Linked DNA regions of Astyanax mexicanus. The protein of the gene in region 1 purifies or fractionates together with the protein of each later gene. This does not show direct contact. Links are inferred from orthologs where the notes say so. Each region holds a gene or a part of one and is shown in the gene's direction. Other genes may lie near its edges. The genes, in order: ap3s1 and ap3b1a.

Evidence for each region.
Region 2: the proteins of ap3s1 (region 1) and ap3b1a fractionate together in Homo sapiens (co-fractionation; 5 studies listed by BioGRID and IntAct, counting the BioPlex papers as one, with this or other methods). This does not show direct contact. The link is inferred for Astyanax mexicanus from reciprocal best matches to the Homo sapiens genes AP3S1 and AP3B1.

Annotation. Positions count from the first base shown.
Region 1 is NC_064419.1:37,198,310-37,215,010, reverse strand, and holds the start of ap3s1 (AP-3 complex subunit sigma-1), read left to right. Parts: upstream 1-9,701; 5' UTR 9,702-9,864; coding exon 9,865-9,933; intron 9,934-16,701. Other genes in the region: cdo1 (cysteine dioxygenase type 1), read right to left, coding at 3,774-3,943, 4,380-4,537, 5,414-5,491, 7,108-7,277. UniProt on the Homo sapiens protein: Part of the AP-3 complex, an adaptor-related complex which is not clathrin-associated. The complex is associated with the Golgi region as well as more peripheral structures.
Region 2 is NC_064424.1:24,000,575-24,017,428, reverse strand, and holds the start of ap3b1a (AP-3 complex subunit beta-1), read left to right. Parts: upstream 1-9,621; 5' UTR 9,622-10,559; coding exon 10,560-10,729; intron 10,730-13,294; coding exon 13,295-13,370; intron 13,371-16,198; coding exon 16,199-16,273; intron 16,274-16,854. UniProt on the Homo sapiens protein: Subunit of non-clathrin- and clathrin-associated adaptor protein complex 3 (AP-3) that plays a role in protein sorting in the late-Golgi/trans-Golgi network (TGN) and/or endosomes.

The DNA of each region.
Region 1 (16,701 bases):
ATCTGTGTAGTCTAAAGTCTTTTAAATATGATGAATAGGCAAAATAATAACAAATCTTAAGTTAACACAGTCAAAAGGGAATGTATTGTGATGATTCAAATGAAAGTGACTGTCAAGCTAAAAATTAAATATTCAAAATTAGAATAAATGAATTCACGAGTCCTGTTGAGATCAGCAAATTAGTTCTATTGCTATCTATCTTATCACAGGCCAGATGTTGCAATACTGCTGGACAGGCAGCATTTTGGTCAGGTTAAGGTTATGCAACTTCTGAATGGATGATAAGCCCATTGTATTTGCCATGACTGACGCGGATCATGTGCAGGTCTGCTCGTCATTAACTGTTATCCAGAACATTCGTTGCAAGCTCTCACATGTTGAAGAAATCAACCGAATGGCCTGAGGAACAGCCCCCCATTCCCCCTCATCTACTCGTCTGCTACCTTCTGAAACAGATTCCTCAGATTCCATCCAAACGCACACGCCAAGATTTCATGTCATAAAAAAGTAGTGAAGCCCACTGTCATTAGGGGCTAGTCAATGAAAGGTGGCTGGAAAGTTTCCTGCAGTGATGGAACATCCAGTACTTTCTAAGTTTAGCAGTTTTCTTGTTCCAATTTCTGTAAATATTTCACCAAAATGGTTGCACTTGTCTAGACGACCTGGAGCGCACATTTCTGTTTATATTCAACCTGTACAAACGGGTTATATTAACAAAACTGGGATTTTTCTTTTCTAAATAAATTAACATTAAGGGACTTATGCAATGGACTATTACTACTGTTTTAATCTTATTTTTAATTTTTTTGGGATAATTTTTCTAGGATAATAAAACTTTTTTTTTTCTATTTTTATAAAATACAAAATAATTCACTATAAGCTTATACATGTTTACATTCAACAAAAACCCATAAAAACATAACACAAGGACCTCAAGGAAAAACTAATGGTGCAGAAAATGTGGAATATAGACGATTTAACATAAGCTGGCTATATTGATGTAAATAATTGTCATGTTATAGCACCACAACAATATTAAATGAATGGCTTGCATGCTACTTTACTTGTGTACTATGCTGATGTAAAACCTAATATCACTATAACACACATAATATCACTTTCTGTTAAAAATACCAACAAATAGATTTGGTTATTCTATGACAAGCATTAATTCATTCATTCTTTCACTTTAATTCTTTCATTTTAATTATTTCGTTTTTCCAGAGACTACACAAACAACCTTTAATAGTCTAATAAATGCTCTAATATTTCTTTACCGGAGGCTTTAACACATGTGCATCTACTTAAGAGAACATGTGCAGTGGTTGTTGGACGCTGTTCTGCACTGAACTTTTTTCCATTTCCCCTGTTCTAAAGCAAAAGCAAAAGCTTTGCCTTTAAGCTCAAAGACTTGCTGTTTGTCTGATGAGATGAAGAAAAACTAGTCTAACATTTAATCTGCCATTTTTTATTTTATTATCATCAACAAAAAAAACAGTAACATGTGCAGATGCGTGTTTTGCATATGATCTAATTTTCAATCTACTTGGTTTTTCTCCAGTTGCAAAAACACAAATGGGAACTGATTGAATGCCAAGTACGAGAGAAATCTCCTCACCCCATGTCCTGCATTTTTATTGGCTGTAACTTCCAGTAATTTTAAAAACAGCAAGTCGAGATATTAACCCTTCTAGATATTTGTCAGGGCATTGCAAGGCATCAGCAATACTTTTGTTTGCTTAATGCTTTTGCAAACGGCTGTACATCTGTAGGACATTGGGTCCCTGCTCGTTTTAGAGTAGGAAAATCCATTTAACAGTATAGTCTCATTACCTTTTCCTATAGTCTTACATACCAACAAAAGTATATTAGACTTTTCTGAAGCTCCATTCATCAAAACAAGTGTCTGTAGCCCACCGTAAATTACATAAGCATGTGATAAATTCAAAACATTACTTTCACCTGATCACCATGAGCAACAGAGTGACTTCAACAAAAACACCAAACAGAAGATACCGATAGCACACAGACACTTCAACACCTGTTTTATGTCATCAATATAGTGATAATGTTCCAGACAGATACAGATTATGACCCCTGGGTGCAAGAATAGATAATATTTATCAGCTGATCAGACAACAAAAGGATTTCCGAAGAAGAGTTCAAGGGACAGGTAATAATGGGGCAAAATAAATATTTTATCTACCACTCTTTTATTACTGCAGCCAATATGATAACCATACATACAGTACTGAGACTTTTACTGTTATTGTTTAATAACACATTAAGGAGATCTTGAACTTTTCCTCATGCTTGATCATTTACGACATCTGATGATGTTCTGTCTTTATCTAAGATCCGGGGTCTTTAATAGGGATCAGAGCCAGAGAGTGAGATGGCCATTACAGTATATTGACTTTCAGTCCACCACGTGTTGATATGGTGGTCATTATCGTGTAATAAATAAATGCCAGCTGCTACCACAGTGCAGCATGTGGGTAAGGTAGATCAGGTCACTATCTAAAGCAGGTTCATTGGACTCCAGCCCTGCGGACCACAGCAATGCAGACGCAGTGTTTTTTACCTTGACATGAATACAACAATGTTATCTCATTGGCTAATTACCAAGCCCTTTATTGGATGGCTTGTGTACATAAATCAAAGTAAAGCCTAAAGTCTGAAGTGCTATGGCCATTCGCGACCTCAGTTTGGCCTAGAATCAGTGATGCCACTGATCTGATCAGGCTTGAGCAATCCTCTGCTGCTGGCTGTTGAGCATTTTGTCTATTTAACAATAAAGTAGCTCATCTTTTTAGATCAGATGTCTTAAAAGATAGATTTACAGCTTTCTAATTTATATAGGATTAACCATCAGGAGTCTATTCTCTTTTGTTGGTTTAATATTTTGATGAGAAATGGGGTTTATGTGTTATCACCAAAATTCCATCACAAACTAAGGAACACTACCAAGTTGCAAGCAATTTAGCTGAATATATTTATTCTATTTGCATAAGTTAATTTAGTTCATTAGGTAATTTGCTTTTATTTAAAGGGAATGAGTGTTTATGCAGTACTTTGTGTGAATGCTGTGTGGCGCACTGAGAAATCAAACAGTACTCAAACAGAGCCATGAAGCGCCGGTGTTCCAGTGTGCATGTCTCCATGCCATCTAACAGGTTTCAAGCTTTTGCAGCATGTAGGTCATGTGTGGCTTTAAATTACATTGGGAATGTTATTTTCAACTGTAAAACTGGCCTAATCTCACATTAGCTAGTGTAATATATCTTTCTCTTTGGTGGTGGCAATGCTTTTATACTGGCGCTAGCAGAGAGTTATATGCTGAGTGTAGATTTACTGCTATTTTACTGCTACTGCTTTGTCAGTAATGCTTATAGATAGAAAATAGCTATATTTGCTTATTATCATTGTGTTCCCCCTTGCCCTATATTGGACCACTTCACATCAAACCACTGTAAATGACTTTGTAACCATGGGAATGATACAATTGTGCAGTAATTATTGAAATCTGTGGAATTTGATTTTTAAAGTAAGTACATGTTTTTTGCGTCTTTATTCATCTTTAATAGGAATATTATATTATTATATTAATTTTGGACTCAAGTTATTGTTCTTTGTATTTTTGTTTAAAAAGCCTAAAAATCCCATAATATTTACAGAAATATGTCTTTATATGCTATTATTTTTCACAGTTTATGGTATAATATATATATATAATCCAGTGATTTAGTTGTGTACATATTGTTCAGACTTACAAATGGTGTTCTCTCCCCATATTTACTCCAGAACGTCATTTTGACTGTGTTCTTGTGTCCCGTCCGCTGGTCAAAAGTCTGACACTGCTGGAAGGGGGGGCTGTACAGGTGCAGGCTGGCTGCACATTCCGTGTGACTGACGTTCTCTACCCGGTGGAGGCCTATGGAATCTGCAACAGACAGACATTCCAGCAGAGACATTAAAGTCAAGCCGTATTGAGTTCCCCGTCACTGTACAGTCAAGTTTCACACGTAGCAAGTGCTATCATTAAGTCACAGAGTACAGTATCTCTGAATGGAGTGTTTAAATATATATCTCGGTTCATATCTTTAGGGTACTGTTTTTAAGCCTTGATATTTATAAACTGGTAATGCAATATGTAACCTAAATCTGATTAGCTGCCCACATTTAGAGCTACAGACAGTCTGGCTAGTCCTGTTAGGAAAAGAGATATGCTGCCTTAGCACTTTTGTTTGGTGCTTCATTACTAAGGATTAATGGGTTGGTAAGCAGTGACATAGTTAAAAGGATGTACCAATCTGTGCCATTTGGCTCAAAGAGAGCCATTCATTGCAGGCAGTGGAAAGAACATCAAGCACAATTACCGTTGATGTAAGCACACTGGTTTTCCAGCAAGATTCGCTGGGATTTCTGGACCATGTCTCCGTGTGATTTACGGTCAGGCCATTCGAACAGTGTCTCCTTCAGCTGGCCCTGCAGGAGCTTCATGAAGCAGTGTGATTCCGCATGATCGTGGATAGAACTGCAAGTTGCATAAAACAAAAACACTTAGAAAAGACTTAGAAATAACCCAAAAACTTTTACTACTTTTAGAATCCACATAAACCAATGATTAAATGAAAATAAGCTCTGTGAAAAAAAGCAGTGCAGGGGTAGAAGAGTGCAGTTTAATAATAGAATGGCACGACATTTCATGCAAACCTGTAATTTCACTCACGCAAGATTTTTCTTTCTTTTTTTCACTGGTCTAACTGAATGAACTTGTCCGGTTTCTATACATCCCCATGCATTACTTCTCTAAAACAAGTCAATAACATTTTTAAAGTATAGAATTAACCTAAAACGACCATAAAAGGTAAACCTTTCACATCCAGGTTTGTCTGCCTCACAATCAGTTTATTTATGCTTATCAATGTACCAGTTCCATTTATGACCTCATAACTCCCCCAGCACTAGACCATTGAACCTCACTATCTTCAGCTTGCGTGTGTTCATCAGGACAGAATTATTATTCAGTCCAATTTTTTTGAGTTGGTGCAATTGATCATTAACCTTTAACATTAACATTAACGTTTAACATTAACATTAACATTAACCAAGCTCGTCAATATACTTACAGAGCAGGTCTCAACTACGCCCACAAACTACGTCAAAGCAATGTTCTATAGATTACAGAGGGACGTCATTTAGGTTTAAGAAGATAATATAGGATATTATGTTATACAGGAAGGTTAGGAACATTTTAATGTTGTATTTAATGAGTGTATTAAAAATATTTTTAGTTTCCTTAGAACATCTCTCCCATGTTTAGCTTTATGTGAAGCCACTGTTCAGAGTGAAGTTATAAGTGGCTTTTATAGGTCAGTTGCTGTTGATATTATTGGGAGTAACCCCTTACCTGCCGTGGCCTTCACCCCAACAGAGAATCATAAGGTTGAATTTTCCATTTCCCTCATCAACGAGATTCCTGGTATACCTAAACAAAGACATTAGGACATTAAAAATATGTATAAATAAATAAATCTTATATGTCCTTCTAATTTTTAAAAGTGAAACTGTGGATGTTATGTATCTGTATTATTTTTTCATGTTTAAAATATTTGCCCCACCGTTTTCCACAGAGAGGCATAAAAAAGGCAATAAAAAAATCAGGATCAGGACTAAATTATCATCCACAGAAATTAATGTCAGCTAGGTCTGAACATTGTTTATTCATAAAAGTGTTTTTTTATTGATACCAATGCAGAAAAAACACCAGAATATAAAATTACATCATATCTATAGGATTTTTAATTCTGCATAAAACTGCATTTGTTATACTGCAACAAAAAAAAACTATAAATAAAGTTTTCAAGTGTAATTATTATTATTTGTTTACAAATAATTTAATCTTGGATGAAGTAACGGTATGTACTGCAGTGCAGTGCAGTAACCTCCACCTGTGCTAATTCTAGAAGGTGCCATCAACAGCTCGAGCTGTTAATAACGACCTTTAGATTTACAAACATGGCAATGGAACCTGAGTTTCTCAACCCGGAGACCCTGCAATCAATCCATCACATCATTATTACCCACCCGTATTAAGCTTTCTAAACCCCGCCCCCTCTCCGCCACCCCCGCGCTGGGATTGGCTGCTAGCTGTTCTAGAATGCTGGCTAAATTTGCTTATGAATCGTTTATGAATTAGAACTGCCAGCCAATCCCGGCACAGGAGGCGGGGCGTGTCGGAATGCGGGTGGGAAGTAAAATTCCGCCCCCCTCAGTCTAAAAAAATTAGCGGGTGTGGGCCAGAAACTGGACTGTGATTGGCGCCTCCATCCCCACCCTGAGACACCTCCTATTAGAAGTCCTCTCAAAACACTACAGAGAGACCTCGGTGCTGAGGGCGGAGTCAGAGCATCGTCCAGAAAAATAACCTGATTAAAAACAACTATGGGTTATTTTAGAGAAATATTGGGCCCATAAGTAGCTGCAATTCTAAAAAAGAAAAAAAAGTATTTAGTAAAGAGTAACATTTGAAAAATTAAAATAACAAATGATAAAAATATATATTTTCAAAAAATTTATGCACTAATTGCACTGCCAATAATAATTATTATGATACTTATACTTATAATACACTTGGCTCAAATAATAAGTACACTTGTACAACATAACTATTTACTGCTATTTTATCTTTTATCACTGTCCTCCAATTTGCAGTATAACTGTGTACTGTTCTGTTTACTAGCCACGTGCAGTATATATACACATACTGTGTGCAATATTACAACTTTTATTTTTAGCAAAAGCAATTTATTCAATTTATTTATTTATTTCACTTATGTGCAACATCTCTACTTACTACTTAACATCACATACAAACAATATATAGTAGTAAAATGTTTCCTCTTATATTTGACCTAGTTACGTTCATATATTTAATAAAAAGTATTTAATAAAAATAAAAAAATATATACATATATATACAAATGTATGCTTGACATTACTGTCCTTTTCTCTGCACTGCACATTTCCTGCATTTGCTGCATTAATATAGAATTCTATATATATTTTCTTATCTAATAATATTAATAATAAAGTATTGCCTACCTGTATTGGTCAAATTTGGCGAATTTCATCCACTCTTGAGGGTTACTCTCATATGCCTCCATGATGCTCTGCACCTCTTCAATATTGACGTGATCATCTTCAAAGATTTTGTGCAGGATTTTAATAAGATCATCCAGGGTCTCTGGCTTGACTAATTCGGTTTGCTCCATTTTTAGCGCTTCTCCTGTAGATCCGAGCCTGTCTGAATGAGCAGAGCTCACGTTTTATAGATTTTATAGGCAAAACTTTAATGGACGCTACCACTCTGCAGAGAGGGGGGAGCAGTCTTTGGTATCTATTTTAAACAGATATCTGACCAAAATACATTTATGCACGGGTGTTGCGAGCAAAATACGATACAATATTTATAAAAAAACGTTAAAATATATTATAGAGAGATAATATTGAGCAAATTAAATCATAGAAACAGGTCTGGGCTTATTTTGAAGCAGTCTAGTCACCCCTGTGTTTAACACTTGGACTCGCCCTGCCACACATTCTGGTTCTCGTTGTGGAACTGGGCATGTGTTCAACTTTTGGACCAGAAAAAAAGAACGGCTCTGCAGTTGACGCCTTTAATCTCTCTTTTGTTACATTAAAACTTTAACCACTGTGCGTAAAACTGTATGTATATTTATGTTTTAACAACAACATGTTTAAACCTTTTAAAAACCACTGAGCTCTTAGAAACTACCCCCATTCACAGGCAGAGGCTATGAATGGACAATCCGGCAATCCATGAATAAAGATTAGGCTGAGGGGAATGTGCAAAACAATAACATTAGAAAGAGACTAATGTTCAGCTGATAGAAACATTAACGAGCTAAAACACACGATTTAGACCATCTTTCCAAAAAACATGGATATGTGATAGATTCAAGATAGTTTTATAGTTATTAATGGTGAATAATCTCCACTGATATTCATGAATATTAAACATGTGTTAAACTAAGCACCAACTAACTATATGATATATAAGGCGCTTAGCACAAACGAGCACATCAAAAGAAAAATAAGTCCACTGTATTTATGTAATATTTATGAATTTGGACACTTTAAATTTGCCACAGCAACAAAAAAACAGTGAAGGGTTTTTATGCTGAGATTTTTGAGGTATAGTTGACGGTGCTCTCGCGCCATCCCGTGGATAACCAAGCACAGTAAAATTGGTTCTGATGTTTTTTTTCCCAATACAATGCAGTATGTAGCGTACATGTTTTTAAGTATATATATATATATATATATATATATATATATATATATATATATATATATATATATATATATATATATATATATATAAGTATATATATTTTAAGGTTGAGGATGAAAACAAATCATTGGGACCACTATTAAAGTCATTGCCTTTGCAATATATTTACAGTGCATTTGAAAAGTCTTTAGACGCTTTCACATATATCACGTTTTGTTGTGTTACAGCCTTGTGCTAAAATAATAATAAAAAACCTCCAATTATTCCGCAGTCTGCACTTAATGACCCACAATCACAAAGTGAAAACTGATTTTTTTTTTGCTTTGTTAATGAGCTGAAACCCAATTAGAACAGAGGTCAGTTTAAGAAAATGCCTGTTTAACTGTAGGGTATGGGTGAGATAAAGGAACGACATATTCATCTAAGAATAGTCAAATCTTGATGATCCTCCAGCCTGGATTCACTTCCATCAGCACCACAAATATGCTGTACATATATTTGTGTGAAATGGTGGGAGAAGGACGTGTCCATCCCACAATCATATATCTGAACCCAATTTTTTTACGCATATTATAATCTTACTTTCATTTCTGATGACTGGTGCATTTGATTGGGAACACCACAAATGTGCAAAAAGATAAACACTTACATTTTTACGGAAAATATCTGAATTAATGTTGATGCCCAGATACACTGTGTGGGCAAAGTCAGATTAAATTTACTGTATGTTTTAGAGAGACCTAGTAAAATTTGACTGGAACACACTAGGAAGGTTGTATTGAAGCCTTGCAGTATTTATATAAATGATACTTTTATTATAATATGTAGTACAGGATAGGCTTTTTAGGCTTATTCTACAGTATATGGAAATTACCTCAATAAATGTTTGCTGACCTTGATACAGGCTATTGTGCTCGCTTGTATGTTTGTTAATATAAAAATGAACATTAGCAATATTTAAAAAATATTTTAAATATATATATTTAATTTATATTACGTATAAATGTAATAATACTGCTCAGGAAAAAAGATCAGTTTTTCTGATTAACTTAAGTTTTTTTATTTTTTAAACAAATTTTAAATAAAAAAACATATATTAAGGGCATTTATTTGCATAAAATGAGAAACGGACAAAATAATGAGAAAGATTAAGTGCTTTTTAGAAAACAAATTCATATTAATTTAGAAAAAACAATGCTAATATTTGAAATATATATTTATATATTTTTATGTTTAATATATTTATATCCAGCTCTATAAAAAAGAGACCACTTATTTGATTGATTAGGTTAGGTGTGGCTCGTTCTCTACTAGAGTTACACGTGTCTTTTATTTTTGAAATCTACAGTTTCCTGCGGAAGAATCTGGCGTAGTTCACTGCGGTCGCTAACTTCACTAATGTCTGCTACGTATCCCTCCGCCGTGCTGCCAGACTGCCACTGAGTGGCTCTAGTTTCACTCAGGTACACTGGAACACACAGGTGACAGAACGACGTCCGTACCTCAGTCTGTCGGTTTAATACACGGCCTGACAGGATAATAACATGATAAAAGCCATACTGATATTCAACAACCATGGAAAACCCAGGCTGTCCAAATTCTACGAACACTATGTGAGTATGAGTTTCAGTGGGTCTAGCTTAGCCTGCTAGCTGGCTATAGCTAACTGTTGTGTGTGGGTTGAACGTCAGTCCTGGAGCTAGTTTTAGATAGACATTTATTTATGTGATGCTAGTTCGATAATAATATATTTATTTACTATAAATATAACCTACTTTTTGTAGTTACAGTATAAGTAGGTTAGTTAGCTAGCTAGCTAACTAGCTAACGTTACATTTAAAGCTGCAACAGAGTTGCTAGACAGCTAGCTAACTAACGCTAACTAGCATTAGCTAACTAACTAGCTGACTTTCTCAGCTTTAAGGGTGTGTTCTGCAGTGGAATATATTTTAATGTTTTTTTACTCAGTGATTCATTATCAGAGGACATAAACTGAAGATGGAGGGATTACTTGTGTAGACATCAAGCTAATTAACTAGCTAAGAGCCCACTCTGCCTGCTGTGTTTGTTTAGTGTAATCACTAACTTAGCTGCTATTCATAAGTTTGATTAACCTACCTAGATTATAGAATATAAGCATGATTATTTTAGCTTTGCAAACCTTTCCAATTAAGTAGAGTAGACTGATTGTGTTAATACAGCTGTTCAGTGAAGTATTTTGTCTATTTAAGCAGATGAAATACTTAATACTTGCAGCTGGATCAGCAGTATTAAAGTTAGACACTGTTATCAAGATTACTGTTATTGTATTTTTTTTTTTTGCATTGCAAATCCTGTTCATAAAGTATTAAGGCTGATCCTTTTACGTTGGTGAAAAGTGAGCTTGTGTTTCTGAGCTCATTGTCTGCCTATCCTAACTCAGGCTATAGGATTACACAGCAACCAGTATTGGTTTACAGCGTGACTTCGCCTTGTGATCGACTCGTGCTCACTTCACTGACTCTGTTCAGGCCTGTTTAGCAGCTCAATACTCTCCATTCATGCCTTTCTGATCTTCAGCAAGTAACCTACTCATGCAGCATACTGAAGAAAATTTTACTAAATTAAAAATAAATTGGCAATAGTTTTAGGGCTGTATGGTTTTGGAAAAGAACTGACAACAAAGTGCAGGTGTGAAAATGTGAGTGAAAAAAGTGGGTGCAGGTTCCCACTAGTATGCAGAGAAGAATATTTAGTAGAGTAGAATAATACAATAAAATAGAAATTTGCAGTTACTTTACAGTATGTACAGTATACACAATGCACACAATAACAATCCACAAAATAACTTGCACTGTAGATATATAATATTGCATGTATATACGTTAAGTACGACTGAATATATAAATATACGATGCTATGTACATGTGCAGATATCTAGAGTAAGTGTGTGTAAGTGAGGAAATAGTCCAATAGGTGACAGAGTAACTATGAGTAAGTGCAGGTACAGAATGAGTTGTGTGGGGAGTACAGGGTGCAGAATACTGATTGTGGGATAAGTATGGGACTGGGCACTGGTAGGTACAGTGTGAAACAGTGCAACATGGTGCAGGGTGCAAGAGTTGTAAGAGTTGCACGAGTATATTTTGTCTGTGATATATTGTGGTAATATAAAAATATAAGGTCAGCAATCCAATAGAGGTGTGCCAAAAAATCGATTCACATAAGAATCTTGATTCTCATTTACTACGATTCAGAATCGATTTAAAATGTCCCAAAATCGATTCTGAGGGGCGGGTTTTAGACTGATTTTGGGCTGGGTATTTTTGTTGGACCTGGCAACCCTGGGGATAGCGCTTGTCCCTTTGGAGATCTTCCAGACACACACAGAGCGTAGGTGTTTGAGAATCACCGGTAAGATGGCAGAACAAGCACTATATTACCTTAGATTAACGTGTAGTTTCAATGTTTTATGGCAGAATGCTTCATAACAAGCATAAAAAAGATCGCTAGTAGTTAGTTTCAGTAACTGTTAGCTAGCTAACTAGCTAACTTTCCAGTTCCACCTTAAATAACGCTACAGGTGGCAGCGGGCTGCAGCATTTAAGGCGGAACGGAAAAATAACAATAAGCTAATCAGAGCTAATTTCAGCTCCTCATCACAGAGGAATTAAGGAATGGACAATATGAATTAATTTCTCCACCTCCTGCCCCCTTTCTGAAGAAATACAACCACCTTAAATTAACTAGTTAATCAGCAGCTGCTCCTGAACTTTAGCGCTCCACTGCTATCATCACATCAGCCCAGCAGCGTCACCTACACACCACCGCTAGTAGCCTGGTAATAAAGCAGTGTTATTTATTTATGTATTTATTGTTCATTAACGTCATTGTGATATCCCAGTGATTCCTCTGTCACTGAGGACCCACATTCCTGCACATTTTATTGTTTTTGTAACACATTACTTGCTCCAGGACCAGTGTATATTATGGAGGGTTTTTTTTCAATACGATTCATAAGCCAGAAGCAGAAATATTTATAATTCAAATCGTTTTGAATCAAAAATCGATTTTGAATCGAATCGTGGCCCCCAAAATCGGAATCGAATCGAATCGTGAGATAGTAATCGATTCCCACCCCTACAATCCAACATTATAAAACACATTGTGTATCCAATATTGAAGTATAATAAATGATAAATGGCTGATCTAATGTGTTTTTTAAAAATATGATATGTCATGGATAATAAAATCAGTTAGGTGCACAATGATATCGTGTGGCTGGTATCTGTTTTGGCTGATATTTGATTCTTTTTTAAATAATCAGTATTAGCCATTTGGTCGATACAGTGCTACTACTTATTTTGCACTAAATGCATTAAAATATTTCACTCAAATTTTTTGTATAAATTCACAAAGACTACATTGACTGTTTTGCATCACATACCGATTGTGCTTATTACATAGTGAATATGGTTATTTTCCAATATACATTGAACATTATTTTGTTTTGACTAAGAGGAAAGTCAGTACCATGGTTTCCCATCATTTTGCACTTTCACCCACCACCTTTCTGTGACCCACACAAACATGATAATGACCATTTGAAATCTAAATAAAATACAGCACAGTAGGCAATGTAGCCTGTCAAATTAACTGGTTGCCTCAGTATCTTTTGTTGTGAAAGACCCATTTAACCATCTATGCATGATGAGTAAAAACTCAAATACAATAAGACTGAAACATATCTCTCAGACATCCACTAAAATTATTGTTACTAGTTGCTAATGCACCAGTTGAATTTGCTAGTTGTGTGAATGTACTCTGCCAGACCAATCAATGAGCTTGACCCAAATATAATATTTTATTTTTGCAAACATTCATTTAATATTTATCACTTAAATTATTGTTCTTAAAAGGTGATTGTGTTTTTTAGAAGCACATCCATAAGGCTTTTCTGTTTTACTGCATCCCAAAAGTGATTGAGATCTGGTGACTTGGGAAGGCTACAGAAGAACACTGAGCTCATTGACATGTTCGTTAAACCAGTTTGTGATTTTTTTTTATTTATTTATATTTTGGACATGAGGAATTCATCATCCAGGAAGTAACATTGCATGTACTACTTCAGGTGGCCAGCCTGTGTCTGCATGACTAAAAAATTGCACTGCTGCTGCAAGGTTGGCTGGTTTAGAAAATTGCATGACTATATAGATTTTCAGATGTTTCTGCATTTAAGTATCTTCAGACCCAATTTCTGACTACCTTTCTCACCAATATGTGTGCTTCTTTGAGGTGCACCCATTGCTGGTATGGCACAGGCCTTTAGTTGTGCACGAAATGCTGGGAAAATCATCATAGAAAAACATTTTTTAAAGAATGGGACACACATGAGCCTAAAGTCAGCAGACGTCCAGATGGGTCTAAAGCCCCTCAGCCCTGGCTGTGGAACTACATTATCTGGAGTGATGGATTTTCATTCTTCCATTCTTTTGATGAGTTTTTTTCATGAGAGAGGATTTCTCTGACATTGCCACTCACAGCTTAATCATTAGGAGACTAGATCCGGATTTCTGCAAAGCTGCCGTGTTATAAAGTGTGTTGTACGTATAAAATTGTATCAGATTCCAATTGTGAAAATTGCCACTAGGGGTGTTACAGCAACAACTGACTTGCCTTGCACTGCCAGCACAGTAACATAAGACCACATGTTGAGTTTGTACAGCAGGACAGTGTGTTTTTTAAAAAGCTGTTAAGATGACTGTCTGCCGTGTTTTTTGCTAGTAATTAGATCGTATTTGCGTATCCATAACATCATAAACCATAAATCTGCATTGGTTGCTGTGATAAGTTAGGTGTCTGTAACTTTGCCTGTGTTTGAATCGGGAGAAATATTGCTTATTAAGGCAGGATTCTGAGGCAGGAAGGCACCTATGCAGGTCTGAATCGAAGTTTAGTATAGTAGCCTTCTTTTTAATTGGTATGAAATGCTAGCAGCTAATGATAAAACAGCAAAATCTCTTATCTAGCAGAAAACTGTCCATACTTTGGTAACACCTGTATGTATTTTTTTTTCTTTATGAATACAGAGACCTTTGTTTCTACAATGTCTTCCAATAGGAATCAAGTCAGCATACATGTAGCCATGCTGTTGAATCCCTGCCCCTCTGTCGCTTTAGATTTGATGTGGTCATTGCCTGATGTGCGTCAGGAGACACACAATGCACTTTGAGCAGATCTGTACAAATGCATCTTGTAGATACTGTTATGTTTACTCAGTTTTGACATGGCTCAAATGCATCTCCGATCACTTTGAGTCAGATCAAATGAGTTTTTATCTGTTTTTAAGTCTTTTAAGTCTTGGATGACTTTGCACTTTCCCTTGCACTTGCACTTTTAACTGGCTGAAACTCAAGGTGAATTAAGTAACCAGATGTAACTGGGGTCTAATTGTCTGTTGGACAAAGCATTTTAAATGAAAAGCCCTCTAAAAAGCTTTGTTTACTTCTTAATCACAAACTTTGTTGCTGGAATCTCATTAAACAGTCCTGTTTTTGTAATGGAGCCTGATTTGATTTAATAGGCCACTGCTTTGTACTTACAGAGCGTTAATGAAAACAGTGCCAGCTATGGAGACATGATGAGAGCTGATTATACCTGACAGGAAGGGACTGCTGGGATTGCTAATGCTTCTGCATCTTATTCTGTGCTAATGAGAAATGACTGATGACCATATGTGATGTGTTGAAAGAAAAGTCTGCCAGATGAATGATAGACTGCACAGGAAACATGCTGCGGTTTGTGTTGGGATGCTTCTTAGTATGCATTTATTGAGATGTTTTTGTAGGAAGCAGTAAGTATATCACTTTGTTTAGGGTGAAAATGCTCAGATGCAGTTTTACAAACGTATTTACAACCTATAGTTTTATTTGGGCCTACTTGCCATGATATGCAGATAGCTGGATAGCTTCCCACTCTTCTGATTGGCATTCTTTTAGCTTTGTCCATTTTTAAAAGCATGGTGGTGTATGATCCACTTGGATTTCCTGACTGGATTCACCCATAAACAGCTGCATTTGGACTTTTAAGGCTTTGCTTGGTGGGCTTTGCAGGTCACCATAGTTTCGGGATTTTATAATGTTTATTATGCTGAATTTGAAATTATCATTTTAATAAGTTAACTAGAGCAGTGTTTCAGGTTTACAGTACACTATTTCCATGTACAAAACGTACTATTCAACTCTGTCAGGATAAACACAATTTTCTATTACAGGGCCCATTTAAAGTGTTTGTTTGCTTAATACATATACTAAATTTTCCTGATTTATGTGAGCCATACAGAGAGGTCTTTCAAGCAGATCAAGTTTGAGAAGAAGTTTAAGTGGAATGTTTCCACTAAAATGAGTCAGGAGATTTTTTGTAGCCTGCAGTGAGAGATAATTAGATTAACACTGTGTTTTGACCTTTCTCTGGACACCTGGTGCTGTCTATAGTCTCGCACCTCCTATCGCTTTGTTTTAGCAATTATAGAGTATTCTAAACATAGCCATGAGCTGAAAGGGCAAATTGACCTCTTCTGATGAACTGCCAGAAAGTCATTCATAACTCTCTTGACTTACATAAAAATACTCGCATAGATAAATGCTGTACTAATTTACCTTTTAAAAGCAAAGACTATGTAAAAAAAAACATCATCAATCTTCTCTCTGTAAATTCATCCTCAAATCTAAATGATTTTTTTTTAAATCATACCAATTATAGAGTAGGTGATAATCGTTTGTTTAACGCAGTCCACTGTAGGGCTGCAACGATTAGTTGATAGTTGACATTTATTTAAATTTGTCCACTACATATTTCATTGTCGATTAATCGTTAATTTGTAACAGTACTGGATTCCACAAAGTGCTAGGGACAGAAGCACAATGGGAGACGGGTAAATGGCTCACTCACACAGTTTACACTCAACTTAGTCTCTGTCTCCAAAAGTGCCCAAACACAACAGACTACTAGATTATTTAATCACTAAATATCAGTACTTTCCACATTTAAACAACATCCATACATTTAAATGCCTTTTAATTTCATGTTCAGCTGTTTCTCTTGTTTTTAAAGATGGAGGACATGGCAGAAAAAAACGTTGACTAATCGACTAAGCGAAAAAATAATCATCAGATTAGTTGTCTTCCAAAATAATCATTAGTTGCAGCCCTTTTCCACAGATGGCTGTGGCTTTACCAAGAATTGAACCAACAGTCTTATGTTGGAGACTGATGATGAGAGACTCTTACATAGCTGCACCAACTAGGTAATTTTTTTAAAGAAAAGATATTTGATTGGTATCAGGCAGTACTCAAGAATCCAATGTTATTATCAGTACCAGCAAAAAAAAAAAACGAGTCTAG
Region 2 (16,854 bases), on another chromosome or scaffold:
GGATTGTGGTGGGCAGGGTAGGAGCCTACATCCAACACAGAGCATAAAATATTTAATGGTCCTTTAAATAGGTTCAAAAGACAATGGGGGGGGGGGGGGGGGTCTACATTTAACTGTATACAAGGTTTACAATATTATGCAGTCTAAATTCATTAAGTTTTAGCCTACTCTCTGTTCCGTAAGCATTGATAGACAAGATTTACTTTAAAACCAGCATGAATTACACAGAGAGAAAGAGAGAGTTAAAAGCTTGACCCCCATACCTCCAATAATACCTCCACCCATACCTCCATCCATCCACACACAGCCCGGCTGATGGTAGTGTCACTTACTGCATCACATAAACAACCAACTCTATCGGCTAATGGGATATGGCTGTCTTGTTTTTCAAGAAAACACTACTTGTGGTACACTGAACATGTGTGTGTGTGTGTGTGTGTGTGTGTGTGACCGGGCATGATTTCCAGTCTCCATCTCTGAGCCAAACACTCTCAACGTCGTCTGCCAAGACTAGCAGAAACATATCTGGGTTTGTTTCTCAATGGGAAATCACGTCTCTCTGTATTTTCCTCCTGTTCTCTGGGTTACAGACACGCAGAGTGTGTCTATGTGTGTACATGTGTGTATATATGTGTGTGCGTGTGTATGTATGTGTGTGTTTGATTAACATGAAACTGCTGCTGACATTGCGAAACATGAATCCGGTAATGGCATCTCAGTTTCAGAGGGAAGATCAGGCAGTTCTGCTGATTTTCCACTTTTTTTTATATTTATTACTGATAATATTTTACAACCTACAGACATTACACACAAACACATACATATCTATAATGCATATGGTGCATTTGTTTTATTTCTTACTATCTATTATATATTAGTGAACGACCGATATGGGTTTTTTGATGGCCGATGCTGATGCCGATATTTAGACAGAAGAATGGCCGATGGCAGTTAAACAGTTATTTAACAGTTTCTTTGCTCTTTCTGCAGTTCAATTAAAATAAAAAGCACAAAGCAAAATAAAAACATACTTAACATACACAACCAGATAGTAGCATCACTATGTTTTTGAGAATGAATAAAAAAAGAATAACACTCTTAGTGAAGACAGTAGCAAACTGAAGAAGTTAGATTTCTGTCCAGCCATCTAAAATTATTAAAACAGCAAAGTATAGGGTAAGTAAAACAAACAAACAAAAAAAAACCCAAAAGACAGGTCATGTATAATTGCGTTATTCTATGCACATTACAATTCAATATACATTTAGAAAAACACATGTGTGCAACCTTCACACAGTGCTAAACCTAAACGCACCAAAATACTCATCAATAAACCACGCAAGCATCTTGATTGGTCAGAGCTGTCTGGCTCGGGAGCAAGAAAGAAAATATAGCGAAAAAATGTTGTGTTCCAGCATGTATATTTGTGCAGTGTAATGCTGCTTTAATATAGAAAGCTGAACATTTGCGAGCAGTCAACGCAGCATAGACCATGCGTGTAAACAGCATGAAGTAGCAGCAGCGATTGTTCATAGCTGTGGTAATTTGTTTTATCTGTCTATTATATCAGATTAAACTGCACCCTATCAGCAACACCTATTTTGCTCAAATAAAATAACTATATTTGATAGCTGGGTTTGATCGAGACTCGCTCCTGTTTTCATGAGTTGCACTATAGGGTAAGTGAACCAGAGTCAAATATTGCTGGTTTGAAAGCACCCTTTATTTGTAAAGTGGAGCAGCCATGGGTCTAATACGTTATTCCGGCACCCCCACAGGAAAATGTAGCACAGATGAGGACCAGGCCACCATCTTCCATCTATTCAAGGTCCAGTTTTAATGCTTGCATGTCCCCTGCTGGCCACAGTAAATGGGGTCAGTATGGGCACTTTGCTGGTCTACAGGTACGTAGTCCCAAGACCTTTATATGCTAACTCATACACAGCCAAAATGTGTTTCAATGAAGGTGCATGTGTGTGAGTGTGTTTGTGGCAAATACCCTGTGGTTTGCTGTGGAGACACTAGGCCTCAGGCCAAAGCATCCAAAGCTCTGACCCAGGGTCAGCCTGACCGCTGTGTTTTCTGACCCTACTGAAATGTAAACAGTTACTAAAACTGACCCGATACCCCTGATTCCACATACACACAGAACTTTATAACCCCCCCGGCACTGCAGACAGACATCTGCACACACACACACACACACACACACACACACACACACACACACACACACACACACACACACACACACACACACACACACACACGTACAAACACTGGAGCAGTTTAAAGGCCAGAGCAGTGTGTTAAAAGTTTAAAGAGTGACTCTTCACCTCTCTAAAGCTTTAAAGCAGAAAAGTCATCCTGAGGTCAGTCAAACATGTCAACACCAAGAGACCAGGGGTAGGTTAGGGAACCCTATCTCTCTCTCTCTCTCTCTCTCTCTCTCTCTCTCTCTCTCTCTCTTTTATCACCGTCATCTCCGTAACAGCTCTTTGTGGCCCTCTGGTGGTTAAAACTGTAAATTACTTATTTCTTTTTCATTTTTCAGCAATATTTAAAGAAGAGTAACAACAAACAGTAACACTACCAGCCATGTTTTAGAACACCCCCAGTGTTTAGCTGTTCAGTAGCAGTGCCGTGTGGCCCAAACAATCTGCTTTTTTCATTTTTCATCTTTGCAATGACTTTACAACTGCACTTTACCTGTCCGACCTCTCAGACGTTTTAAAGTTTTAAAGCTTAGCTAAATGTGTTGCCATATGGGTCAGCCAGACCTTTTTCCGTTTATACATTTCATAGTTGCAGAGCTATTTGTGTTTTTGTGTAAAAGTGTGAATGTGCTTAGTGTACTGTTTTACATTTTAAGGACAACTGACATTTTTTTAATTAAATTCCAAAGCTAAGTTTATTTTAATTGCTACTTACCAGTTGTAAGCTTTTAACCAATGAATTATTTGCCAAAAAGCATCTCCTCTTTTTTAAACATTATATGTTTGTTTTTTTTTTTACTGCAAAATTGTGCACACTGGATTTTTTACCATTTACAATACTAACAATGCTAATCTGGACAGTGCTAACAGTAATAGCTGATATCTGAGGTCAATGAAAAGCAGCATTATAAACACTCAGATATCAAATGCACGTAACATAAAAACATATACTATTAAGATCTTAATGTAGATCTGGAGAAAAATCAGATAACTGTACTGTGTGTTTCTGATGAAGTGGACACCGGGTGGAAGGCATTTCTCAAGACCCTGGATCAGCTGTGATTTACAATACGGCCTAAGGTGGTGCTGTTACATATAAAGCTATAGCTCCATCTGCTGGACCAGTCATATATTTTTTTATGTGTTCAATCCCAAATGTTTCCTAGCTCACTACATAGTGCACTGCATGTGTGTAAAACAGTCAGTCAGAGCACAATATATCAACTATATTTAAACATTCAAATATTTAAGAAATGTGTGTGACGTTATTGTGCACTTTGTAAGAGGTGGGGAGTAATTTGGGACACAGCCTTATTTTTTTAACACAGTCAGAAATAAAATGTGTGTTGATATTATATATTTATGAGTGCTTAAATAATAACAACAAGTCAGATAACAGGGCTGTGTATTAGGTAGCTACTCACATATTAAGCGGTAAAGTGAGAGAGGAATGTGAAGCATTGTGATTCAACACAACACAACAAAACGATTTTCTGTCAAAATAAAAGTCCCCCTAATATAAAATACAATTCTGTTTTAGTCTGTAAATGAAATACTATGAACTAGTCTGATTATATATAGAGTAAAAAAAACTAATACATTTTTTGAGACTTATAAACACATAAAATAATGTAGATAAAAAAAGAAAAAGTAAGAAATTGTTGAGTTTCACAGTTTTGAGCTGACACTTTATGATAACATTCTGACTCTTTAATAACTCTTTAATAAAAGTAACATTATAAAGAAACATATATTTATTTCAGCCACTGACAGCATGTTTTTTACTAGGTGAATAGTAAAAATCAGGAGATTTCTGAGGTTTAACTGTAATACCTGTACTAAAACTAGTGTTGCTGGGTAATACAGTTTTGCGCTGGCACTTTTTCAATATATTTTGATTCAGGAGACATAACTTTTTAATAAAAGTAATATTATAAAGAAAAATATATTTCTTTCAGCCACTGACAGCATGTTTTATAAAACACGAATAGTAAAAAAACAGCGGATTTTAGAGGTTTGTCGGTACTAAAACTAGTCAGGTGACTCGGGCTGGGGCGTCACACTGCTGTCATGTGACTTAAACTTCTCCAACTCATACTTCCGGTTGCGTGTGGAAGAAGGAGGAAAAAAAACTTCCACAGGAAAAGTTCTTCTTTCGGTTTGATTATTTTATAAAATCGACTTTAATTATAGTTTAATTGAGAGCGGCTTCATCAGACCCTGTGCTCCTTCTCAGTGCACAGCTCGCTTTATCACAGCTGGAGAATATCAGCGGACATGTCGGCCAACAGCCTGTCTTACAATGATCAGGGAGGCGCGGAGGCAGCTGTGGAAGCGGGGCAGGAGAACACCCCGACCACCTCCACCGGGGGAGCCGCCTTCAGCCTGTTCAGCGCGGACTTTAAGAAGTGGGTGCATGTAGAGTTCTGTGTAGTTAAATGAGCTGATGATAACGTGAATGGAGGATGTGTGCGTGTGTGTTTTTTCTGCTGCCTGTTGCTGCTGACATGCGCAGTGTCTGTCTGTGTATGTGTGGTTAGCTTATCTATTAGTAAACTAGGTTAACTTAGTTTTAGTTGTATATTTTCTTTGCTTCTGTCTTGTTATAGCTTTTTTATTTTGTCACTATTTGATCAAATTAAATAAAGTGTTAATTTTACAGTTTCCAGCGCTTTCAGTGATTTAGTTCGCTACACATCGGCTTTATTCGATGTATAAATCATGTGCGCGAACTGTAGTGAGAGTGGATGAGAGAGGATGATTTGTAGATCAGCGATTCTGCGCTGCGTTAAAGCTGATGCTGCTGAGGTACGTGGTGTTGTTGTTCCTATTACAGGTGGGCGGGTCTGTTCTCCCAGAAACAATTCTGAACTTTTTTTTCTTTACATTAAAATATAAAAGTTGGTCAGTTTTTTTTAGCAGAACAAAACTCTCAACAGGCTTAATAAAACATTAATTTAAACCTTTCAATGTATTGCTTGCATACAGTTGGTTTAAACCTAAAATACAAGCTTAATATTGTATTTATTTCTAAAGTTAGCCATATGTTTTAATTAAAACAATTGAAAGCTAAGCTTAGTTTAATTAAACACCCAAATTAACAGTTTTTTCGAAAGAGATATGTGTGTAGAGTAATATCCTGGACTCAAGAACATCCCAAGATGCATGAAAACTGTAATTAAAAACCAAGGTTGTTCCACCAAATATTGATTTCTGAACTCTTAAAACTTTATGAATATGAACTTATTTTCTTTGCATTATTTGAAGTCTGAAACCTCTGCATCTTTTTTGTTATTTTAGCCATTTCTCATTTTCTGCAAATAAATGCTCTAAATGACCATATTTTTATTTGGAATTTGGGAGAAATGTTGCCGTAGTTTATAGAAGAAAACAGCAGTGTTCCTTTTACTCACACAAATACCTTTTAAATAGCAAAATCAGAGAAACTGATTCAGAAATTTAGACAATTAGTTCTGATGCTCCAGCTCATCCCAAAAGTACTGTTTGGAGCTTCATCTTCATCGTCACTCCAGAGAACCCAACAGCCATGGTTGGCCTTAGGCTAATGTGTGGCTGAATGCTTGAGTGTTTTATTATACTGGAGAGTTATAAGGGGTTTAATCAGATTGGTATTGTTGGGCTGCAGTTACATTTTTGCTTGTGTATTCACGCTGCTTGTCAAAAGCACTATTCACACTGGATTTGTCTATCAGGGCTGTTATTGGTATTGACCCTGTGCTATCATTAGCTTTTCTGACTTTATCTTCTTCTTGCTAATGTTCTCCCAGTGTAGAGGAAATGGTGTAAAAATGTATTGTTATCATGTGTACATTTGTTTAATACTGGTATTGGAAAAATGCATTTAATATGGCCTCTGATAAATTTGACATTGCTATCTGAAAACAGGTGGGGGAAAAACACAGGCCCACCATAGTTGTAAGTTTAGCAATGTGCTCTGTACAAATCAGGCAAAGGCAAAGCCACTAAATGGAATTAGCAGTCTGCAATGTGAGCCTCAAAACACTCCTAAGGTAATTTACTTGACTGTGTGCACGTGTTTTAAGCTTTATCTTCTACACTTTTGTGTTTTGATCCTAGAACATGGTCTGTACTGTGGTATTAACTGTTAGCATGTTACTTGTTATGTAGCTAACTAACTAAGACTTCACTCTCTCAGACAGTTAAGTTCTTATAATCAGTTCTTAGGTTAGTTAGTCAAAAACAGCTGTACTGGACTCTGACTCTGATACTCTGTGTATCTGTACTGGAGGCTAGTTTAGCTAGATAGCTTCAGAACCAAACCAAAACAACCAAAAACAAACAAACTAACACTCATTTCTGTGTTCTGTCTGCTCAGTCGCTCTATCTTTCTTGTCTAAACGTTTATATAAGTGGAGTTTCAGTCAGACTTGAGTGAGTTCTGTGGTAAACAGAATGTTAGCGACCATGCTAGCTAAATAAATCCTCTAATTATGTGTGCTAAACATGTTTTAATCTTCAGACTGAGGGTTGAACATTTACTGTATGACTGACTTAAGTGTTTATTTAGTCTGTAAACAAACTGAACTTTTGTATTTGATCATTTTTAGGTTTAAAAATAACTCAGTCCCACCAATTTGTTACTGTTTCAGTCAGGGTGCATCAGATATTCGGCAACCCAAATTATTCAGAATTCCAAACAATTTGGTCGAAAAATGGCAAAAAAACGGGTGAAAAAGTTTTGATTATTTAGATTTATTCCAAACAGTGATTTTTTTTTAAGATAAAATCAAATCACAACCAACTGGGATGTTAAATATGTTTGACGTTCAATAAATATTTTTAATTGGTTATTTTGTGCTTATTTTGTAATTTCTTTGAAAAGGCATGTATACAAAAGCTATTTCATTTCTGCAGTGGTAAAAAAGTGGCAAATAGTAATTGGGTTTTTGACCCAAAACAGATTTTTTTATTGCATCCCTAGTTTTGTTTTTATTTTATTATTATAGCATGTTTTATTAAGGCAGCTTTGTGTAAGGTTTTGGTATTGACATATAACACCATGTAAATATTTCATAATGCATAGTAAACATGTTTATAAATTGTTATGCATTTTTATACATACTTATAGCCATGATTGTTAATAACATGTTTATGGAGCCTAATGGACATGACATTTATAGGCAGTGTTACTATAAAATGGTTAAAAAGAGCTTCACCTCATGTGCAGCTTTATTTATTTATTTATTTATTTATTTATTTAATTATTTTCAAAATGGAGAAATTTTACCTGTGCACACACACTTCCATAATATACTGTTTCAAGCTTTAACTGACCAGCAGGGGGAACTGCCTAGCCGCTATAGTGGATAAAGGCCAGACTGAGGTCACATCATCAGTGCTCAGTATTGCTGATGCAGGCTTATTTTCACTCACTCGCACCCTGCTGGCACTGAGCTACAGTTTACCTTTCCTTTCTAACACTGGAATGTGATCTGGAACACAGTCAGGCAGTCTCTGACTGAGTCAGTAATATGAGAATAGTAATCGCTTACAGTTCTGCATGAATGGTTTGTAGGCCAGACTTTGTCGGTATTGCAGGAAGGATACACTGGTTAGTTTTAATCTGTTAAAATTTAGTTATATCTGCAATATAGTGGCAGTGTATTAACCCTATGAACTTTATTTTATTATTATTTTTTTTTATTTTCTCTATTTTTTTCCCCCAGTATAGCTAGGCAGATTGTCTAATCCGTTTAGCTGCTAAAGAGCTGCATATCCCCCATCGCTAGTGATTCCACAACACAAGGAGGGTGAGGACTATAACATGCCTTCTCTGACACGTGAAGTCAGCCATCGCCTCTTTTTTTAAACTGCTGCTGATGCAGCATTTCTGAGTAGCATCACAGTGCACTCGGAGGAAAGCGCAGCGACTCTGTTCCGATACATCAGCTCACAGATGCCTTGTGCTGATTGACATCACCCTAGGAGTGATGAGGGCAATGAGCACCATCTACCCACCCAGAGAGAGCAATGCCCATTATGCTCTTTTAGGGCTCCTGCAGCTAATGGCAAGCTGCGTGACCGGGATTTGAACCAGCAATCTCCCGATGTCCCGAGCTTTTAAGACTTGTGATTAGATGTAGAACGTATTAAGCATTGTGTTTTAAAGCTTTCGTATCATAGAAGACATATTACACGGGGCAAAGCATTCAGGAACAACATTTAAGAATTTCAGTAGCTTTGTACAGATTACTTAAGAAAAAAAACAACATAGATTATAGATTCCTTTGAAGTTGGCCAGTATAAATGTGGTATAGTTGCTAGTGTGTAGTAGACATATAGTAAATGGTGACTGTGTGAGTGTTGGTATGTTATGTTCTGTGGTATTAGTGGTATGTGTTAGCAGGAATTTGGAGAGGGGGTCGAAGGGGGGGGCTGGTGCTAAAGTGTGAGTGAGATGTACTGAGTGTGTGTGTTTATGTGTGTGTATGGTTATGTGATTAGGGTTTGTGTGTGTGTGTGTGTGTGTAGTATTAATGTTATTTGGCTCTAAGCGAATCAGCAGGCTTTCGTTCACATGACTGAGGACTGAAGCCAGTATTTAGAAGTGCCATTTGAGTACAGCCAACATACACACATTACACATATTACACACACATTTTTTACTGTAGTCAAAAAGAGATATTATATCAAATTATAAGCAACTTTAAAGAAAAAGTGAGTAGTGGCCACAAAATTATTTCGGCAGCTGCTTTATGTTTTTATTAAGTTTCAAAAAAGTCTATACTTCTGATAACAAGACAGCAGTCAGCCTTGGCTGGGTTAGAGCGATTTAGCTGCGATCATGTCTGTTTCTCTGAGCTGGATTACTCCCTGAATTGATGACCTACTGGAGTCCCAGTGTGAGCTCAGCCTTTACACCTGTGGTTATAAGAAGCACTTCTGGCTACTGAAAAGAATTGTAGAGACAACACTGTAGTATGAACTAAAATAACTTTTTTCTTTTTCTTTCCTTATCATTGTTTTGTATAAATTATTCTAGCCTTTTCCTTATTCACAATATTTTCCATACATCCCTAAGCGGAATGCATTCATTAGAACCACTAGAATGGCTACAAACATTAAGAAGTATGGAAATCTATTTTGTTTCTAGAGCAAATATCTGCCATCTCTGATTGAAATGAGACATCCCAGATTTTGTTGACCATTTTTGAGAAATGGTCAACAACTGGAAAGTACTGGCTTCAAGTATTGAATTTAGCGAGTGGTACAGTGGGTTGTTGGCCATTGTGTTGAAGAGGAAAGTGTTGGAGAGGAAAGTGTTGCTTGCTGGGTTTGGCCCTTATCAAGCACCTACAGGGCTTCTGGGACGGGCTTGCCACAGGAAGAGCTGGAGGTTTGCGCTGTGAAGGTGATGAAAGACTGGCAGTGTTTATTCACTGTAGATTAGAGCTTCCACGCTTCCCTTGGATCTATTAAGAAGAAAGCCCTGCCTTGGGGGAAGGATCTTGGTTCCAGTGGAACAGGACTGTCGCCTGTGTGTGTTTGTTTGTTCTGTGGATACTGTCGCTCTTGAGGACAACGATTAAAGAAAGAGTTTACAGAGTTAATGCTTAACAGGAAACCAGCCAAAGTGAAGTTTATGTGCAAGGAGTGCCGGGCTTATTGCGAGCTTTGTCGAGCGATCCGTAGGGAGTAACGGCTTGGTGGTCACTTTGTTTCGGAAGCAAGGGACCATTCCTGTCACCCCTGCAGAAGGAACCTGAAGGTCAGCTTCACTGTGGAGAGGATTGGAGCTTGAACAGGAGGTTTAAAAGTTTGAAAAGGACCTCTGTTGCACTCGTGGTGTGTAATTGATAAGGAGTGATGGGACAGCACTGGGCTGGAACTGTTTCACGTGGTTCCTAAGCTTATGAGAGATTAAATAAGTGAGTGCGAGTGAGTGACTAAGTGAGTGAGTGAGTGGGCATCTCTGCTGTCTTGGTACTTATCAGGATTTAGGAGGCCAGCAGTGGACACGGTACAACTTGGAGAAGAACTTCATTGGTGAAGCTTCAGCTGGGATTTTATCCAAAGTTCCATGCCATAGCTTGGATTTTAGCTCTGGGATTTACTGTGAAAATTAGGTTTCTTGGGAATCCCTGGCCTCCACTGCTGTCGATCATTCGTGACCTTGGGTGGACTACATTTCTGTTCCCTGTTCTTGTTGGAACTGGTGGATTGTCAGGTTGTCACCTTCACTGGTGACCGCAGGAAAGGTCTTGGGTGGTAGTCCTGATCCTGAATGGTTCAGTTGAAGCTCAAGTTGGACCAGTAGTTTCCAAGGGATTCTCTGAAAGCAAGCTTTCTTTTTGAGTCGTGATGAACGGGGGTTTGTTCAGCCTGCGCTCTGAGGCCGCAGGAGTCGTCCGGACAGTGCTGGTTTCCGCGGAGAATCTCCAGCTCACCTTGAGGTCAGACATCAGCCAGGAGGAACAAGCCTTCAGCAACCACCAGCACTATGGAGACTCTGAGGAGACCAAAAGCAAAGGGTACTATTGACTACACACTTGTCAAGTTCTGGATGCTAGGTTCTACAGTCCATTTTTGGGTTGTAGTCCATTGTAATGATTAAGCAATCATTGGGGGAAATAAGTTGCAAATAAGTGTTTTGTGTTTGGGCTGTTACTTTTAACAATAAGGGTGTATTTAATATAAGATCTGCTACTGATATTGATCCAGCACTGGTATCCACCAATACTTACATGGAAGGTCTACAGTATATACCACTATTCAAAAGCTTGAAACCACATTTCAGGTTAAAATTTTCTCCTGTTTTATATAGTGGCAGGATATAGTGCAGGATTTTTGAAATTCATCTAATATAATGCTATGATTTTCTAAGGGTATTTTCACAACTGTAGTTTGTTTCTCTGATCTGAATCTGTTGAGTTTGTTTACTTGTGGAGAATTTTCTGTCTGTTTGGTTTGTTTTTACACAGGCACAAAAGTAAAGTAAAGTAAGCTGTCTCCTCTGAGCTGTTTTGATCATAGCTGTAGTAATTATCTAGGTAATAAATCAGGTTATACTGAACCTGAACAGCCTTTTTGCTTAGACATGAGAAATATTTAATAGTTGGGTCAGATTTTTCATTTTTCACCTCAAAATAACCCTTTGAAGTTTGTTAAGGTCCGACACACCTCTTCTTTGTGCAGTTTGTTTTGGTCTTGTTTCAGTGCGATTACTGTTTTCACACATGCTGAAACGAACCAGAGTCTGTTTTAACTAGAGATGGACCGATCAGTGTTTTTGGGGCCGATTCCGATCGCCGATTGCCTTTCACCACGATTGGCAGATTGCCGATATCGATATTGGGTGGAACCAAATGCCACATTAATGCCACACAGGTGCCAGGCAAACCTGGTACAGATTCCTCTAATTACATCCATGCCTAAGCAAACACTGGTAATTTACGCTGCTAGTAAATAAACACAAGAGTGTTACTGACCAAAAGAAACACTTATATATAAGGGTATGGGAGAGTGATGCGAAAGAAGCAATTTCTGCAAGCACGCCACAAACAAAGTTACAAACAAGTTATGCATGAAGTTCAAAGCACACCTCAGGCGACTCTGTTTGTGGCGTGCTTGCAGAAATGGCTTCTTTCGCATCACTCTCCCATACAGCTTCTCCTTGTGCAAAGTGTGCTGTTTTGTTGACCGATGCACAGTGACACCATCTGCAGCAAGTGAGATGCTGCAGCTCTTTGGAGGTGGTCTGTGGATTGTCCTTGACTGTTCTCACCATTCTTCTTCTCTGCCTTTCTGATGTTTTTCTTGGCCTGCCACTTCTGGGCTTAACAAGAACTGTCCCTGTGGTCTTCCATTTCCTTACTATGTTTCTCACAGTGGAAACTGACAGGTTAAATCTCTGAGAAATCTCTGTATCCGTCCCCTGAACAACTATGTTGAAAAATCTTTGTTTTTAGATCATTTGAGAGTTGTTTTGATGAGCCCATAATGCCACTCTTCAGAGGAGATTCAAATAGGAGAACAACTTGCAATTGGCCACCTTAAATACCTTTTCTCATGATTGGATACACCTGGCTATGAAGTTCAAAGCTCAATGAGGTTACTAAACCAATTTTGTGCTTCAGTAAGTCAGTAAAAAGTAGTTAGGAGTATTCAAATCAATAAAATTATAAGTGTGCACATACTTTTGCACCGGTCAAGTTTTGGTTTAATGCATATTGCACATTTTTTGTTAGTACAATAAACCTCATTTCAATCCTGAAATATTACTGTGTCCATCAGTTATTAGATATATCAAACTGAAATGGCTGTTGCAAACACCCAAATATTTAGAACTAAAAATGATTAAGATTAATAGGGGTGCCCAAACTTTTTCATATGACTGTAGTCATGCACGAAGGTCTCGCACCACCACCCCTCCCTCAGCGTCTCACACTCAGCCCCAGGTCACTGCACATCAGGCGAGGGGCTGCACAGGCCGTCTCGTGGCAGCTGATCAAGCCTGAAACAAAGGCCCTGTTCTTCTGAACCTTTCGCTTAGCAGACAGTCACACTTTAAACATATGAACACCAGCACAGGGCGAACGGCATGTACTCTGACCGAGCTTTCTCTCTATCTCTCTCCCTCTGTTGCCGATTGGAGTGTGTAGTGTGGAGTGTTTCGCCTCTATCATACATCTTCCTTCTGGAACTCTGGATCCTGTAGTTCTTTTTTTTTTTTTCGTTAACTGTAGTTCATTGTGTTTGGAGCGGCTCCTTTTGAGGCTGTTAGTCGTAATCGTTGGACATGGTCAGTGTGTGGGGCTACGGACCGTGTGGGGTATATCGGCTTAGCAGCCCCAAGCAGAGGTGTGTGTCGGTGTGTGTGTGTTTGTGTGTTGGAAGTACAGTACCTAAGCAACCCACTTGATTAAATCTGGCCCTGAAGCGAATCGAGCGTGTCAATGAATCAAAGTTGGGGTGAATCGGTGTGAAATGAATCTGTCTGCCAGGGGAAGTGTGTAGGTGTGTGTGTGCGCACTCAGGAGTGTGTGTCAGATGGGTTTGAGTGTGAAATGAATCAGGCTGAATTGAATCTTTTTCAGGAACGAGGATCTGAAGGAGATGTTGGAGAGCACCAAGGAGTCCCTCAAGCTGGAGGCCATGAAGAGGGTGGTGGGGGTAAGTGTGTGTTTGTGTTTGTTTGTTTTAGTTTGTGTGTGTGTTTGTGTGTGTGTTTGTGTGTGTGTTTGTGTGTGTGTGTGTGTTTGTGTGTGTGTGTGTGTGTTTGTGTGTGTGTGTGTTTGTGTGTGTGTGTGTGTTTGTGTGTGTGTGTTTGTGTGTGTGTGTGTTTGTGTGTGTGTGTGTTTGTGTGTGTGTGTGTGTGTGTGTGTTTGTGTGTGTGTGTTTGTGTGTGTGTGTGTTTGTGTGTGTGTGTGTTTGTGTGTGTGTGTGTTTGTGTGTGTGTTTGTGTGTGTTATGTTACTGTAACAATGCCATTGTTAATAGAAGTGGATTTAGCACAACAGTCTTGTTTTAATTTTTTTTTTCTTCCTTAAATTCACATTTTTCCTATACACTAAAGATATTTAAGAAAAATATAAGATGATTGATATGAATTTTAGCTTATATTTATGGATATTTACATATCCGTGCAAAGTTAAACAATGTACATCATTGAAGCTTCGATTTAAGATCACCTATTTTCTTTTAGATCAGCAAAAGAATTTTAAGAGAGACTGTTTTGAAGCAAATTAAAGGCTTTGGTGTTTTACATGGCCATAAACATTTCCCTGTTCAAGCCATGACACTACCTCCACCATGTTTGACAGATGAGCTTGTATGTTTTGGCTCATGTGCAGATGCTTGAATCTTTTTTTTTCACATTTTCTATTGCTTTAGCCTTTTTATTCTTTAGGGGAGTGCAGACTGCTACTGACTGAATTTATTCCAGGCACACCATATGGATTATGTTTACTCCTCTACATGTATGGATGGCTGTGCATGTATTTGTACATGCATACTGTATGTTCTAGGGGTGTAACATAGTTTACATTAGTTGTCATGGTTTGGTATTATCCTGTACCACAGATCAGTTAGGAAAATAAATAGGTGAATGAATTAATTTGTAAGTAAAGTGTAAATGTATTACTTCGTAATTTGCACACAATGTTAACTACCATATTTTTCACACTATAAGGCACACTTAAAATACTTGAATTTTCCCAAAAATCATCAGTGCGCCTTATGTATGAATTTTACCAGTCTGGTATTAAGGAGCAGTAAAGCCACTCTGCTGAAGTACAGAGTTATACAGGAGTTTCAGTTTAGTTCTCCAGCACCAAGGCTTGAGCCATATTAGCATTAGTCACTAACCACTAAGACATTAAGCGTTAGCGTTATCGACCTGTAGCCTGCTGCTATTCTCGGCTCGCACTGCTGAAACAGAATTAGCATTAGCCGTTAACCGCACTAAGCGTTAGCTCTTTTGCCATTTAGAGGCGATTATAGCGGACTGTAGCCTGCATTGTTACCATGTTAAAACAAGGTACATGGAACGAACCACTAGCTAATATCGCCCTGACTTACTGGAACGCTGTCGGGCGACATTTACTAGCGCTAACTGCGGCTAGAGCAAGCGGTTAGCCGCTAATGCTAATGCTTTTGCACCCAGCTTTAGTGGAAATCTAGACCTCTTAGCTTACTGTAAATAAACAGAAGTGCTTTATTCACCCAAATAAACAGTTTTGAGAAGAGAAATCTCTGTAGATTAACAACCAGTGCTCGTTTAACTTTAAGGGTTTTTTTGGGTTTTTTTTTAAGAATTAGAGTTTTGCTTGCTTTAGCTTAGCTTTTCTTAACTTAGTTTCCAAATGAGAGACCTGCTGAATTAGAAAGAAAACATGGTGACACCCCTGTTCCTTACTAGTGTCGTATAATGCGCCTTATAATCCAGTGCGCCTCTGTATAAAAATAGACCAGAAAATAGATGTTTATTGATAGTGCACCTTAAAGTGCAAAAAAATTGGTACCAAGGGTTTAACAGACCATGGATAATCCGTGATCCACAAAGATCAGTTGTTGTGGTTTGGTACTAATGTAAACCACGGATCTAAGTCTTGATGCAGTGGTCAAATCAAATCAAACAAGACCGGAGGACCTTTTTATGTCAAACATACAATGTGCCACATTATCAGAAGGTGTGTCCAAACTGGTACTGTAAGTTCTGTTGCCCTGACCACAGACAGCTGGACTTACGGCCGAGTGGGAGACACCCCCTTTTTCGTATAATCTGCTTAAATGATCTGCAACATACAACTCCTGTTGTTAAACATGGTGGTGGTAGTGTCATGGCCTGAGCTTGTATGGCTTGGGCTTGTATGACTGCATCTAGAACAGGGGTAAAGTTCATGGCCATGTGAGCCATGAAAGCCTTTCATTTGCTTCAAATTAGTTTTTCTTACAATAGTTTTGCTCTCCTAAAAAATGAGATGGTCTTTCATCAAAGCTTCTATTTTCTACATTGTTTAACACCTCTAGTTGTATGGTACTGTGCTTTGCTCAAAACAGAAATGCCATCAAAAGAGTTGGGCTATGAGGTTTGCGTTAATCAATGTATATTCAAACCAGGATGCTGTGTGAAGGAACTTTTAGTGAATGTGTGTAATGGAGTAATAGTGTGTGTATGTTTAACAATGGTAATTGTTGTGTGTATGTATACACACACACACACACACACACACATATATATACACACACATATACACACACACACAGTGGTTGATGAATGACAGCCTGCCTGACTAAGTGATTCATTGGCATGGCAAGCAACAAGCCATAACCCACAGTGAACTTAAACTATTAATTTATTAAGCTCTTGCAGTCAATTTGAGCTCGTTAGGCTGCTGGGCTTTGATCGGCTCGTGCTGCTGGAGAACGGGGTGATTTGTAAGCATTTCCAGACGTTCCCGTCCAATTTCAGCTCTGACTTTCTGCTTGTTTTTACTCAGCTGATTGCGAGAGGGAAAAACGCCTCAGAACTGTTCCCTGCTGTGGTGAAGAACGTTGCAAGCAAAAACATTGAGGTAAGTGAGGTGTACTTACATACATGAATGAAGTTAGCCAGTTTTAAATTAGGTTTAAAATTACTGCACACCTGGAAGAAGTTCCAGGAACACACAGAAATCTGAAATATATGACCAATGTATGCATATAAAGTACAAAGCATTTTCCATATGTTTAAGGAACATTTAAGGATTATATTTTCTATAAGAACACACATCATGACCAGGATTCATCTTCACATATTATTAAGAAATAAGCAGAGCTTCAGCCAGTATTTTCTTATTTGAACTGTGTGGGGCATCTGTGTGGCTTCCGAACCTGCACATCACCATTCACCCAGTCCCATTTCCACACTCGGGTTTGCCAGGTAAAGAACACAACAACACACAAACAGTGAGCTGCAACCATGGAAATGGGAATGCTGGCTATTTTTCTTCCTAACAGCTAATCCCTGAGCTATAGTAAGGTTTGCTAATAAAGCTAACAGAGCTATATAATATCTACATGATTGTTTTTAATCTGAAAACAGTAAAATCATTGCAAATGTATACATTTGTTGATTAGCTTACAGCGTGTGACACGTATTTGCTTGGCACTGTGT